Stegostoma tigrinum: one gene and its partner. The protein of the gene in region 2 purifies or fractionates together with the protein of the main gene of each other region. This does not show direct contact. Links are inferred from orthologs where the notes say so. Each region holds a gene or a part of one and is shown on either strand. Other genes may lie near its edges.

Region 1 (7,159 bases), on a different chromosome or scaffold from region 2:
AAAGGGCCTCAATACAGACTTCTATAGAATGTGCCAAAATCCACGTTCCATTCACAAAACATCCATTGACCATTAACCTCTGTTATACATCACTGAGCTAACTTTGGGCCCACTTCAACATATTCATTGTATCCCGTGCGATTTTATATTTCTGAAAGTCTTCCCTGTGGGGCCTTTTCAAAATGCCTTACAAAAATCCACATAAACAACGTCCACTGCACTATCCTCATCAATCCTCCTTGCTACCTCCTCAAGAAATTTGATGTAGTTGATAAGATACAATCTTCCTTTTACAAAACCATGCTGACTATCCATGATTAATCCCTGCTTTTCTAAGTGATTGTTTATCTTGCCTCTTAGAATTGATTCTGAAATAACTCACAGGCCAATATCCTGTCACCAAGTCACCCTTTATTTAACATGTGACACTGATCCAGCTCCCGCAGAGGCAGATCTTAGTGTGACAAGCTATCAGACAGTCCTGTAGTTATCTGTCAGCCAGGGCTCCCTGATTGGATCAAATTAGCGGCCCCAATCGGGGAACTCATATTCAGAGGGTCTACCTGGCTGACCTCATTACAATCACTTCAGATTGCAACAATTTGTGAACCACCAGAGTCAAATTGAATAGTTTATTAGTTTTTGGATGAACCCTTGCATCCTTTTTAAACAGTGAGATAATGTTCAATCCTTTGGCTCCTTGCCTGTATCTTTTGAGGTCTGGAAAACAATCGCCTGCTGGACGTCCTCAGGCACTCTGCAAGGATCCCAACACAATATTACAAACTTCACGTTTGTGACAAAATGACTTGTTGAGGCTGCAAATAGTTGTGTGGCCAGGCAGGGATGAGTATCAATCCAAATGCTTGGGATTTGTCTCAGAAGCCAAAGACGATAACCTTCGTCTTTAACTGAAAGAAACTCGGGCTCATCCAAGACTGGACGTTGGATAGACACATCAGGAGTGGTGAAGTTAAGAGATCTGATGGTGAGGCAGAGTTAGATGTTTCCAAAAGGTGTCTGTTTTTGATGTTTCAAACATGCAACTTGTAAATGAGGGAATTGGAGGTGTCAAGCATGGATCCTTAGGGAACTCTGAAGGTAATAGTGCCATGGGAGGAAGTGAAGATGCTGTCATTGTAATGTCTGTGGTTGGATAGGTAAGAGTGGAATGAAAGGAGGACATAGGATTGGACAAAGGAAGAGATGTAGAACCATAGCCAATCAGATTACATGCTTTGGAAGCCCAGTGCTAGAAAGTACCACATGGCCAGGGATGATATTACTTGTGATTTTGATAAATGTCGCTGCAGTGCTATTGATAGGAATGGAAACATGATTACTAATTCAAACAGGAAGGTGCAGGGAAGATGGGTTTGGATTTAAGAAGTAACAGCACTCTCAAAGAGCAGAGGGATGTGGGAGCTACAGTGATAATTTGCGAGGATAGGCGAGGTCAAGGGTATTTTTTTGGCAGTTTAATATTGGCAGTTTTGAAAAGGAATGGGACAGCGGGAGAATAACTGAGTAGAGAGTTAGTTATAAAGCCACTAATATGTAGTACAGGAAGGAAAATGTGGTGATCAACAATTCAATGAGAAGTGGGTCAAGGAAGCAGAGGGACCTCGGTGTCAACAGTAATTTCTAATTTTCATCTTCACCATCCTATAAGAGTCTTAAACTAGAGGTCACAGGTTTAAGGTGAGAGGGGCAAGATTTAAAAAGCACCTGAGGGCAACTTTTACACACAGAGGCTGGTGTGTATGGAATCAGCTACCAGAGGAAGTGGTCGAGGGGGGTACAATTTCAACATTTAAAAGACGTTTGGATATGTACATAAATAGGAAAGGTTTAGAGCGATATGGGCCAAATTCAGGCAAATCAGGCTACTTTAGTTTGGGAAACTTGGTCGGCGTGAACGAGTTGGACCAAAGGGCCAGTTTCCTTGCTGTGTCACTATATGGCTAAGAGTCCCTTTCAGTTAGTTTATTATTGTCTGTATTGCCAACACAATCTCCTATTCTTTCTCCTGTTGGTTTATGTCACTCTATTGCCCTCAACCTCGTCTTTATATGCAGCTTCAATCTATTCAAGTGTGTTCCACATTTTTACTGCCTTGGAAATAAATGCCCCTTAAATTTTTAGTTTCCTTTCTTCCCTAGCTTCTATTCATGTGTCTTGCCTCGATTCACCCATGAGTATAAACGTCTTCTTCACCTTCACTCTAAGAAACTCCTTCATAATGATAAAGATTTTTATTATGTTTCAGGGCATGCCAGCTAAATATGGTCACAACCTACAAGATCAGTTCAAATTTCAGGTAATGATTATAAGTAGCTAAATCTTTGCTCTTGCAGCATTGTGAAATCTTGATGAGATTATTGCCTTCTAATCAATCTCAGGTATCTATTGTTCTTCACATAAAAGACAATGTTTTCCTTGTAGTTGTAAACTCCACTTAACGATTAACTACTCTCAGTGCCACGGACCTGGATTCAATTCCACTCTCAGTGTGGAATTTCTACATTCTCCCCGTGCCTGTGTGGGTTTCTTACGAGTCCTCTGGTTTCCTTCCACAGTCCTAAAGATGTACAGGTTCGGTGCATTGGCCATGCGAAATTGCCCACTGTATCCAGGGACGTGCAGGCTAGATGGATTAGCCATATGTAATGTAGGGTTATGGGGGTAGAGTTGGCGTTGCGGAGGGTGGGTCTGGGTGGGATGCTGTTTGGAAGGCCGGTGTGGTCTCGATGGGCTGAATGTCCCGCTTCCACACTGTAGGGATTCTATGATTCTAATCTATGATGACATTCCAGAACTATGCTGAATTACTCGAGCACTGTCTTTCACAGAACACATGACAGCAGGTTGATAGAAGTTTGCAAAATCATGAAGGATCTTGGACAGAGTAAGCAGGGAGAACCTGCTGCCCCTCATAAAAGAATCTAAGGACCAAGCAGTCACAGATTTGAATCAATTTGCAAAAAAGAAAACTTTTTCACACTGAATAATTAGATGCTGGAGTGCACTGCCTGGGAGTGTCTTGGTGGCAAGTTCCCTTGAAGCATCTGAGGCAGCATTAGATAATTATTTAAATGGAAGCAATACTCAGGATTATGGGGGGAAAGCGGGAGAGTGACACTAAGTCATAAAACTCAGAAAGCTAGTACAGACGTGAGGAGCCAAATAACCTCCTCTTACACTGGAACATTTCAGTGATATTCTGAAGACAGTCTCTGCTTCAGATTAGTTATAGAAGGTCCCGGTCAACACTATTGGGGACAATTAGAGAGTATTTCTTAACGTCCTGGTCAATGTTTCAATTTCCACCAAAACCACGAGCAACACATCAAATGGTCACTCAAGAGATAATGGGAACTGCAGATGCTGGAGAATCCGAAATAACAAAGTGTGGGGCTGGATGAACACAGCAGGCCAAGCAGCATCTGAGGAGCACAAAAGCTGACATTTCGGGCCTAGACCAATGGTCACTCATTCTTTTCTGCTTTCTGCAAAATAAACTGCCGTGTTTGCCTACATTGCACTTCAGAGTGATCCACTGCATGTGACGGCATTCTGACCTTTATAAGGTTAGCAACAATCCACTTTATAAATACCTGTCCCCAGATCTTGTGTTTATATATTCTCCTTTAATTGCCTCTTTGAATCCTCAGACTACCTGCTCAACCTGCTGATGAATTTGGCAACAACTGCCTCTTTTCACCCCCAGATTCTCTTGTTGAACTGAGGAGTTTAAATACAGCGTTTGTACAGCCCGTTTTGCTTTTATTTCAGAGCAATATGCCTGGTAGCATTTTCATCCCAAACGTAGGTGAACAGTCCAGTTGCTGGACAGCCAAAATAGGTTAGAGCAACACCCTGCTAGTCTTTCTGGATGATTGGAAATCGAATCGCCCTGTTTGAACATGGGTCATTTCCTTGGTATCCTGGCCAATATTTATTTCTGGGCTGTGACTGCTGGCAATAAATGAGCTGCTCAATATCCTGTTTGGGAACTTCTTGTCCATTGGAAAAGTGACCAGACTTCAAGTGATATTTCACTGAGTGAAACTGTGTTTGAACGACAGGGTGGGTCAGCGTTCAGCATTGCTGCTTTGATAGTGTGAGGGACCCACGTTCAGTTCTCAGCGTGGAGTCTGCACGTTCTCTCCGCGTCTGGACGGATTTTCTTCCCTCACTCTCAAGATGCATAGGTTAGGGGGATTGGTTTTGGGAAATGCAGGGTTATAGGGATGGGGTGGTTGTAAGTGGACGGGCGGTGTAGTCTGGTTGGGCCGAACGGCCTGCTTCCACACGGTGGGGACAGCACACCCGACCACTGTGACATCCCGATGTGGCGAAAGGCGTTATCTAAATGTAAGTCTGCACTTTGCGCGTTAAACATACCCAGATAGCCACTGGAAGATTGAATTCTGCCAATTCCGGCGTCTCTCAAGATGAATTTTACTTCGGTCCCCATCCAAAGACAAGGAAAGATAAACTTCAAAAAGAAACTGCACGCTACCCTGTTCTGCCTTGAGTCCTCCGGGTTACTACTTTTTGTTTCGCTCGAACTCACAAATTTTTAAAACCATTGAAAAAAAAATTCTCAATGACCAAAGCGTTGGATTCGGTCCAACAAGCTGCCTGGCTGCCCCAAACGACAAGGAAAAAATTACAGCCCGTCAGGAAAAGCCGCAACTGAACGACGGCCGTCTCACGATATAAATGTACACCTCCCACCAGGGCGACCCAGCCTAAACTGTGTATAAAGGGAGGCCAGAGACAGCGGAGAGGCGTCAGTCCCACTGCTAGCTATAATGCCTAGCTCCCACCTCCCATAACAGCAGCTCGCCTCTTGGATCCTCCCCTCTCCGAGAACCGAACAGACCTGCCGCCTCAACGCTGAACAATCTGCCAACGTTTCAGGGGTAAGTGATTCTCAGTGACTGGTCAGACTCTGCTGAAAGGCAGAACTCAGGGTTCCTAACCCTAACCCTAACCACTGAATCGCTAGTTTTAAGGGGACTTTTGTTTTTACATTTTACTTCGCCCCCCCCCCACCTCCGATTTAGTTTTACTGCTCTGACTTTCTGCAGAGTTTCCCAGGACACCCCCCCCCCCCGCCATCCCATCCCCGCCTTGTATACGGCGAGTTAGCCTTTCTGTTATTGATACACGGGAACTGGTACTGTGAATGCCGATACTGGAGCAAAGGGCCGTGAGGCACAGGTCCAGCATTGCTTCCCACTTCCTCACTTTAGACATTAATTGAGAGTCCCATGTGTAAACTGTTTGCTCGGTCTCTCCCTCCCTCTCTCATACACGCTCACCGCATTTCAAATCTTATTTCCCACCCCCACCCCCCCCCCTCATTTATTGGTGATTACACACAATGTCACCCTCCCAAGTGAGGTGTCTGTCGTCTCCCTAAAACGTACACTGTCACATATACACACTATGTCACACCTAAATGCACACATTATAGACATCTTTGATTTTGTCCAGAGTTAAACACACAGAGACAGACCCTTCAGTCCATCTCGTCCACACCAACCAGGTATCCCAAACTGAACTAGTATCATTTGCCTGTGTCTGGCCCATATCCTTCTAAACCTTTCCTATTCATGTACCTGTCCAAATGTCTTTTCAATTTTGTAACTGTATCCTCCTCTACCACATCACCTGGCAGCTGGTCCCATATTTGCACCACTCACCTTGTGGAAAAGTTGTCCCTCAGTTCCCTTTTAAATCTGCCCCCTCTCACCTTAGACGGATGCTCCCTTACTCTTTGGGAGGAAGACCTTGGTAATTACCTTATCTATGTCCCTCACGAAAACCTCTAAAAGCTCAGTCTCTGACACACCAGGGAGAAAAAGTCCCTGCCTACCCAGCCTCTCCTTTACAACTCAAACCTACAGACTCTCTCACACATGAAGTGAATTTGTGACATAGTCTTTCCACTGTGATTTTACGCAAGGCAACTGAGGTTCTAAATGAGTCATGAAGTTTTGGGTTATATTTTAACTGAGGAGGCTGTGGCACCTCACATTTTTGCCGCATTTGTAGCTGCAGGGCATGGTATAAGATACATCTACATGTAGACCACTCAGCGCCCTGAGCCTGTTCTGTCATTCAATAAGATTCCCAGTCACCCCTCACCCCCTTCATTATCACAAATTTGCCTACCTCTGCCTTCAAAATATTCAAGGAATCTATTTACAGCCACTTAGGAGGAAGAGAGTTCTAAAAATTTAGGATCTCCGTTAGCAATAAACTCTCATTCTCTCTGTATTAAATGGGCAGCCCCCTATCTTTTTTAACAGCTCGAGATTCCCCAAAGAGGAGGAAATGTTTATTCAACATGCATCCTGTCAAGATGTCTCGGGATCTTAATTTTTCGAATCAAATCACCCCTTACTGTTGTAAACTCAAGTGAATACAAGCTTGTTGTGTCCAAAAGACGTAAGAACTAGGAGCAGGAGTAGGCCATCTGGCCCCTCAAGCCTGCCCAGCCATTTAATAACTTCATGCCTGATCTGTTTGAGACTCAGCTCCACTTACCTGCCCACTCCCCATAACCCTTAATTCCTTTACTGTTCAAAAATTTATCTAGCCTTGCCTTAAACACATTCAGCGAGGTAGCTTCAACTGCTTCACTGGATAGGGAATTCCACAGATTCACAACCCTTTGGGTGAAGAAGTTCCTCCTGACCTCAGTCCTACATCTGCTTCCCTTTATTTTGAGGCGATGCCCTCTAGCCCTAGTTTCACCTGCGAACAGAAACAACCTTCCTGCCTCCACCTTATCTATTCCCTTCATAATCTTATATGTTTCTAAAAGATCTCCCCTCATTTTTCTGAATTCCAGTGAGTATAATCCCAGCCTACTCAGTATCCCCTCATAATCCAACCCTCTCAACTCTGGAATCAACCGAGTGAATCTCCTTTGCACCCCCTCCAGTGCTAGTATATCCCTTCTCAAGTAAGGACACTAAAACTGCGCACAGTACTCCAGGTGTGGCCTCACCGGGACCCTGTACAGCTGCAGCATAGCCTCCCTGTTTTTAAACCCCATCCCTCGAGCAATGGCAGACAAAATTCCATTTGCCTTTTTAATCGCCTGCTGCACCTGCAAACCTACCTTCAGCGATTCATG
Region 2 (7,330 bases):
AAAGCATCCATTCACCAGGCTCTTCCATTGTACCCACCACATTCAGGACGCTTTTCCTTTGCCAGCCTCACCCTCCTGTTCACTGTGCTCTACTATTGCACACTCCACTTCCACATAAATCACGCTGTTCTGCTGCACCCACTCAGCCTGACATTATATAGCAAGAACTGCCAATGTTGGAGAATCTCAGTCAAAACAGTGTGAGGCTGAATGAACACAGCAGACCAAGCAGCATCTGAAGAACAGGAAAGCTGACGTTTCTTCCCTTCTTCAGAAGAAGAAAGTCAGCCTGACATTAAATGTGTTCTTCCATTGGTGAAGGTTGACAGCTGGCCCCTCTGCCAACTATGTTGCTGCTGTCCCTCTTGGCTGCCATCCTACTTTATCAGACCCTCTCCTTCTTCCCCATACCCTGAATGTCCCTCAGGGACAAAACCATAAACTGCTGGGAAAACGTAGCAAGTCTAACAGAAATAACAAAGTGTGGAGCTGGATGAACACAGCAGGCCAAGCAGCATCTCAGGAGCACAAAAGCTGACATTTCGGGCCTAGACCCTTCATCAGAAAAGGGGGATGGGGAGAGGGTTCTGAAATAAATAGGGAGAGAGGGGGAGGCAGATCGAAGATGAATAGAGGAAAAGGTAGGTGGAGAGGAGACAGACAAATTAAAGGGGCGGGCATGGATCCTGTAGAGGTGAGTATAGGTGGGAGGTAGGGAGAGGATAGGTCAGTCCAAGGAGGACGGACAGGTCAAGGGGGCGGGACGAGGTTAGAAGGAAGGAAATGAGGGTGCGGCTTGAGGTGAGAGGAGGGGAAAGGAGAGAGGAAGAACAGATTAGGGAGGTGGGGACGAGCTGGGCTAGTTTTGGGATGCAGTGGGGGGGAGGGGAGATTTTGAAGCTTGTGAAATCCACATTGATACCATTGGGCTGCAGGGTTCTGCAACCTTCGGGTAGCATCGTTATGGCACTGCAGGAGGCCCAGGGTGGTCGTGTCATCTAAAGAATGCGAGGGGGAATTGAAATGGTTCGCGACTGTGAGGTGCAGTTGTTTATTGCAAACTGAGTGTAGGTGTTCTGCAAAGCAGTCTCCAAGACTCTGCTGGTTTCCCTGATGTAGAGGCAGCCACAACGGGTACAGCGGATGCAGTATAGCACATCGGCAGATGTGCAGGTGAAGATGTGCAGGAGGCTTGGGGACCACATCCTAAAACCAGCCCAGTCCCTCCGCTTCTTCCTGTCCCACAGACCCAACCAGTCCCTCTCCAACGACATCCTCATCCGCCTAGCCGAACTTGTCCTCACCCTCAACAACTTCTCTTTCTATTCCTCCCAATTCCTACAGACAAAAGGGATGGCCATGGGTACCCACATGGGCCCAAGCTATGCCCGCCTCTTTGTAGGTTACGTGGAACAGTCCCTCTTCCGCAACTACACTGGCCCCAACCCCCACCTCTTCCTCTGTTACATTGATACCTGTATTGGTGCCGCCTCGCGCTCCCAAGAGGAGCTCAAACAGTTCATCCACTTCACTAACCCCTTCCGCCCCAACCTTAAGTTCACCTGGACCATCTCCGACACATCCCTCACCTTCCTGGACCTGTCTCCATCTCAGGCAACCACCTAGAAACCGATGTCCATTTCAAGCTCACCGACTCCCACAGCTACCTAGAAATCAACTCCACACACCCACCTTCCTGCAAAAATTACATCCCCTATTCCCAATTCCTTCACCTCCGCCGCATCTGCTCCCAGGATGAGGCTATCCACTCCCGTACATCCCAGATCTCCTCGTTCTTCAAGGAGCGCAACATCCCCCTGCGGTGGTCGAGAACGCCCTCAACCACGTCTCCCGCATTTCCCGCAACTCATCCCTCACACCCCGCCCCTGCAATAACTGCCAAACGAGAATCCCCCTAGTTCTCACATACCACCCCACAAACCTGTGGATACAACGCATCATCCTCCGACACTTCTGCCATCTACAATCCAACCCCACCGCTAAAGACAGTTTTCCATCCCCACACTTCTCTCTGTCTGCCTTCCGGAGAGAACACTCTCTCCGCGATTCCCTTATCCGCTCCACATTCCCCTCCAACCCCACCACACCCGGCACTTTCTCCTGCAACCGCAGGAAGTGCTACACTTGCCCTCACACCTCCTCCCTCACCCCCATCCCAGGCCCCAAGAAGACTTTACACATCAAGCAGACGTTCACCTGCACATCCGCCAATGTGGTATACTGCATCTGCTGTACACTGTGTGGCTTCCTCTACATTGGGGAAACCAAGCGGAGGCTTGGGGACCGGTTTGCAGAACACCTATGCTCGGTTCACAGTAAATAACTGCATCTAGTATAGAGAGATAATGGGAACTGCAGATGCTGGGGAATCCAAGATTATAAAGTGTGAAGCTGGATGAACACAGCAAGCCACGCAGCATCTCAGGAGCACAAAAGCTGACTTTTCGGGCCTAGACCCTTCATCAGAGAGAGGCCTGAAACGTCAGCTTTTGTGCTCCTGAGATGCTGCTTGGCCTGCTGTGTTCACCCAGCTTCACACTGTATTATCTTGCACCTCGTATAAAATAGTTTAAGTTAGATGGGCTTGAGATCGGTATGACAGGTCAGCACAACATCGAGGGCCGAAGGGCCTGTACTGTGCTGTAATGTTCTATACCTCATTGTCGCAAACCATTTCAGCTCCCCCTCCCATTCCTGAGATGGCATGTCCATCATGGGCCTCCTGCAGTGCCACAATGACACCACCGATAGGTTGCGGGAACAGCAACTCATATTCCGCTTGGGAACCCTGCAGCCCAATGGTATCACTGTGGGTTTCACCAGCTTCAAAATCTCCCCTCCCCCCACTGCATCCCAAAACCAGCCCAGTTCGTCCCCTCGTCCCTAAACTGTTCTTCCTCTCACCTATCCCCTCCTCCCAACACACCTCCGTTTCCTACCTACTAACCTCATCCCACCCCCTTGACCTGTACGTCCTCCCCGGACTGACCTATCCCCTCCCTACCTCCCCACCTATACTCTCCTCTCCACCTATCTTCTTTTGTCTCCATCTTCAATCTGCCTACCTCTCTCTCCCTATTTATTTCAGAACCCTCTCCTCATCCCCCTTTTCTGATGGAGGGTCTAGGCCTGAAACGTCAGCTTTTGTGCTCCTGAGATGCTGCTGGGCCTGCTGTGTTCATCCAGCTTCACACTTTGTTAGAGATAATGGGAACTGCAGATGCTGGAGATTCCAAGATAATAAAATGTGAGGCTGGATGAACACAGCAGGCCAAGCAGCATCTCAGGAGCACAAAAGCTGACATTTCGGGCCTAGACCCTTCATCAGAGAGGGGGATGGGGGGAGGGAACTGGAATAAATAGGGAGAGAGGGGGAGGCGGACCGAAGATGGAGAGTAAAGAAGATAGGTGGAGAGGGTGTAGGTGGGGAGGTAGGGAGGGGATAGGTCAGTCCAGGGAAGACGGACAGGTCAAGGAGGTGGGATGAGGTTAGTAGGTAGCTGGGGGTGCGGCTTGGGGTGGGAGGAAGGGATGGGTGAGAGGAAGAACCGGTTCGGGAGGCAGAGACAGGTTGGACTGGTTTTGGGATGCAGTGGGTGGGGGGGAAGAGCTGGGCTGGTTGTGTGGTGCAGTGGGGGGAGGGGATGAACTGGGCTGGTTGAGGGATGCAGTGGGGGAAGGGGAGATTTTGAAACTGGTGAAGTCCACATTGATACCATATGGCTGCAGGGTTCCCAGGCGGAATATGAGTTGCTGTTCCTGCAACCTTCGGGTGGCATCATTGTGGCAGTGCAGGAGGCCCATGATGGACATGTCATCAAGAGAATGGGAGGGGGAGTGGAAATGGTTTGCGACTGGGAGGTGCAGTTGTTTGTTGCGAACTGAGCGGAGGTGTTCTGCAAAGCGGTCCCCAAGCCTCCGCTTGGTTTCCCCAATGTAGAGAAAGCCGCACCGGGTACAGTGGATGCAGTATACACTTTGTTATCTTGGTTTCTCCAGCATCTGCAGTTCCCGTTACCTCTGATACAAGTCTAACAATCTGTGGAGAGAAAGCCAAATTAACGTTTCTAGTGCAGCACCAAACCACCAAACCCCTTATTCCTGGAGCACGCCCCCTTCCTAAAGACCCACCCCTAACCCTGGAGACCCGCCCCTCCACCCTTACACCCCACCCCACCTCCCCATTCATTGAGCCTGGGCCCGGGCCAGGGCCGTCCTCTCGCGAGAGCTGCCCGGCGTTTCCGGTGTTTTTGTGCGGCCCCAGGCCGGGCGGGCGGGCAGAGAGGCGAGAGTCCGTGAACATGGCGGTCAGCGTTCGCGGCCGCTCCGTTAGGAGCCTCCGCATCAGAGGTACATTACCCTCAGTCGTCAGACCCGGCCGGCAAGGCATAGACCGATAACCAGAACAAAAACAAAAAACCCTCAGCAGCGGCAATTAACGACGCTCGCACTTTAATAACGGCCCCGTCGAATGTTGTTTGTTTATGGAAATAAAATGTATGACTTACCGGCCACCTTAACTGAACCATCCTTAATCGTATTTGTTTTCTCTCTCTCTCTCCTCTGCACATATCTTCTTATATTGATTTACAATATGCACGCAGGGCGGAATGACAGCGGGGAGGAGAACGTGCCGCTCGATCTGTCCCGAGGTAAGGGGGAAACGGGGCATTTTTTTTAAATATGAGGACGGTGGAAGGAAGTAAATAAACAAAATAAAATTCTGTAGGAGGTTGGTGATGGCGGATCGTGGTGGGGGAGGAATGGTGTTGGAGCTACGATGAGACGTGAGGGCAAAGTCGCTGCTCCGCTGACCGGAGTGTGAGGGAGACCACAAAACTTTGGAATTATTGTGTAAAGGAGTTGGGGGTGGGGAGGGAACCGGTGGACTCAGTCGGGAGGAGTGGGAAAGTGAAGTTGTTTTTCCTTCTCTCTGACTGTCTCCCGCCGCCCTCGCACCGAATGAATCAGGGGCCGCCGCCTCTCCTGGGCGCCAGCTTTTCAAACACTAACGGCTCCCGGGCCGCGAGCCCCGTCCGTTGGTGGGGAGATTCCACTCGGGGGCAGGAGAGGGGTTTGTGGGATCATTCATCTGCCCCACGCCCCGCCCCGCTCCTCCCCCCCCCCCCCCATCTCTGTTTGTGGTCTCGCCTTTCCACTCCGCCCTGGAGCTGGTTGGCCCTCCACTGTCATTGGGGGCGGGTGGGCTAAAGGGAGAACTGGGTGCATTTTGCGGGGTTGGGGTAGGAAAGAAAGTGAGCTGGGATTTATTGATTAGGAAGGGGACGACGGTGTTGAAGTGGGATGGGAAAAGGGGGGACTGGGAGAGGGCGAAGGATAATGGATAGGGGGAGCAGGCAAGATGGGAATCTGTGTAATCGGATTGGGGGGGGGATGTAAGATGAGGCTGGGGGTAGGGGGAACGTCTGGGACAGATCAAATAGCTGAAAGATGCAATACAGGATTGGACATTGAGGGTATGAAACTGGGCATCGAGGATCTTGAAGTAGTGGGTGGTAAAGAACCTAACAAATAGGAGGAGTAAACACTACAGCCTCTTGAGACCTAAACTTGTTCGACAGTAGAGCGCCTGCAAGCCCCTCTCATCTGTCATTCAAAATATCTGCAGCGATCTTTGTGAGTGTTCAGTTCTGATGGAGTCATCTAGATTCAAAACATTAGCATGGGCTTTCTCCATGGATGCTGTAAGACCTGCTGTGACCTCCAGCATTTCTTGTTTTCAGTTTGTGTGTGTAATTGTTAACTGGCATCCACAGCGCTCTCGGGTACAGAACTCCAAAAATTCATATGTCTTTCAGTGAAATTATGGGTATGGGGCGATAGTGGGAGCGTGGCCCTCAGATGGAGGATCAGCTATGATCATGTTGAAGTGGACTAGTTACACTGAATTGGTTTTGTTTTCTGTATTTTTGTGTTTTCTCATCTCAATTCTAAGTGACCAGTCCCTTAGTCTGAGCCTTTGACTCTACATTCTTGATTTTCTGTATTTTTCTATATGCCCCTTTGCCACTGTCATCCTATTTTGTCTGCCTTCTCCTGCATTGTACTGTACACTTTTTCAGTGAAATTTTCTCTCACCCAGCTTAGTTCATTCTAAGCAAGAGCCATTCTATTCCAATTTCCTCCCCCAAAGTTGTTCCATTCTAGACAAACCAAGCAAGACCTTTCATGTAGCGATACCTCCTGTTATTTCAAGTTAATTAACACCTCAAGCTGTCACTATTTAGGCATGATTTTGTACTCACCAGTGCTCTAAAACTATCCTCTGCCTACTCAGCAAATAAAACCAGCATTTTTCACTGTCCAAAGTAGTGATTTTTTGGCAACGAAAGTCATTAATATTCTCTCAATCCTAAATCTAGTACTGCTAAATTGCAAGGAATGGGTATTTTCTCTTGTTAATGTTTCACATCTGATGCCAGCTGATAACATGTAACATTATTAAATGCATTGTCTGTGCTCGTTTAGAAACAAAAGCAAGTGGTCTCCTGGATGGTGGCTCAGTAGGTAGCACAGCTGCCTCACAGCACCTAGCACCCGGGTTCAATACCAGCCTCGGGCAGCCGTGCAGACTCCACACAGACGTTCTCACAGGGTCGGGATAGGTTTCCTCCTGGTGCTCTGATTTCCTCCCACAGTCCAGAGATGTGTGTTAGGTGGATTAGCCATGGGAAATGCAGGCTTACAGGGAGAGGGTTGGATCTGGATGGGATGCTGTTTGGAAGATCAGCGTGGACTTGAAGGGCTGAATGGTCTGTTCCACAGTATTGGGATTCTGAGCTTCTATCGTGGTGGTACCTGGTCTCCCAGCAGCATTGATTTAGCGAGTGAGTCATGCAGTGCAAGTGCAGTATTTCTGAAAACGCTGACTACTGGTGCCTATGTGTGGAACCTGCTCGGTATCTCTTGCCCAAGTGCTTGTATTGACCCTACTCCATTAATCAGTTCCAGCGCCAGCCTAACCTTTGCCCTATCGCGCTGCTCCGGAGATGCCTTCCCTGTCTGTCAGCTTGCAAACATTGCCTAGTAATGAAGCCTTCAGTGATTTGTTTACGTTTAAAATGGACTCTTAAGTTTTGTGGGAAGTGGCGGCAGTTTCGATGTATTTTTCTGTATTAACGTTTATTGCTTTTTGACTCTGGGTGGAGAAAGGAGGATGATGGGTGCACGATGTGTTTTTTTCGAAACGGCCACGTCCTGAGGGGAGGGACCGGCGACTGCGTCTCCAGCAGCCCGGGCTCTCTGATCTCCTTCCTGCGGCTGAGACACACGCGAGGCCGGGGCTCAA

Evidence for each region.
Region 1: the proteins of rictora (region 2) and proline-rich protein 5-like purify together in Homo sapiens (affinity purification with western blotting; 3 studies listed by BioGRID and IntAct, with this or other methods). This does not show direct contact. The link is inferred for Stegostoma tigrinum from reciprocal best matches to the Homo sapiens genes RICTOR and PRR5L.

Annotation. Positions count from the first base shown.
Region 1 is NC_081370.1:339,848-347,006, reverse strand, and holds the start of proline-rich protein 5-like, read left to right. Parts: upstream 1-4,106; 5' UTR 4,107-4,931; intron 4,932-7,159. UniProt on the Homo sapiens protein: Associates with the mTORC2 complex that regulates cellular processes including survival and organization of the cytoskeleton.
Region 2 is NC_081356.1:134,468,193-134,475,522, reverse strand, and holds the start of rictora (rapamycin-insensitive companion of mTOR), read left to right. Parts: upstream 1-4,242; 5' UTR 4,243-4,322; coding exon 4,323-4,371; intron 4,372-4,625; coding exon 4,626-4,673; intron 4,674-7,330. UniProt on the Homo sapiens protein: Component of the mechanistic target of rapamycin complex 2 (mTORC2), which transduces signals from growth factors to pathways involved in proliferation, cytoskeletal organization, lipogenesis and anabolic output.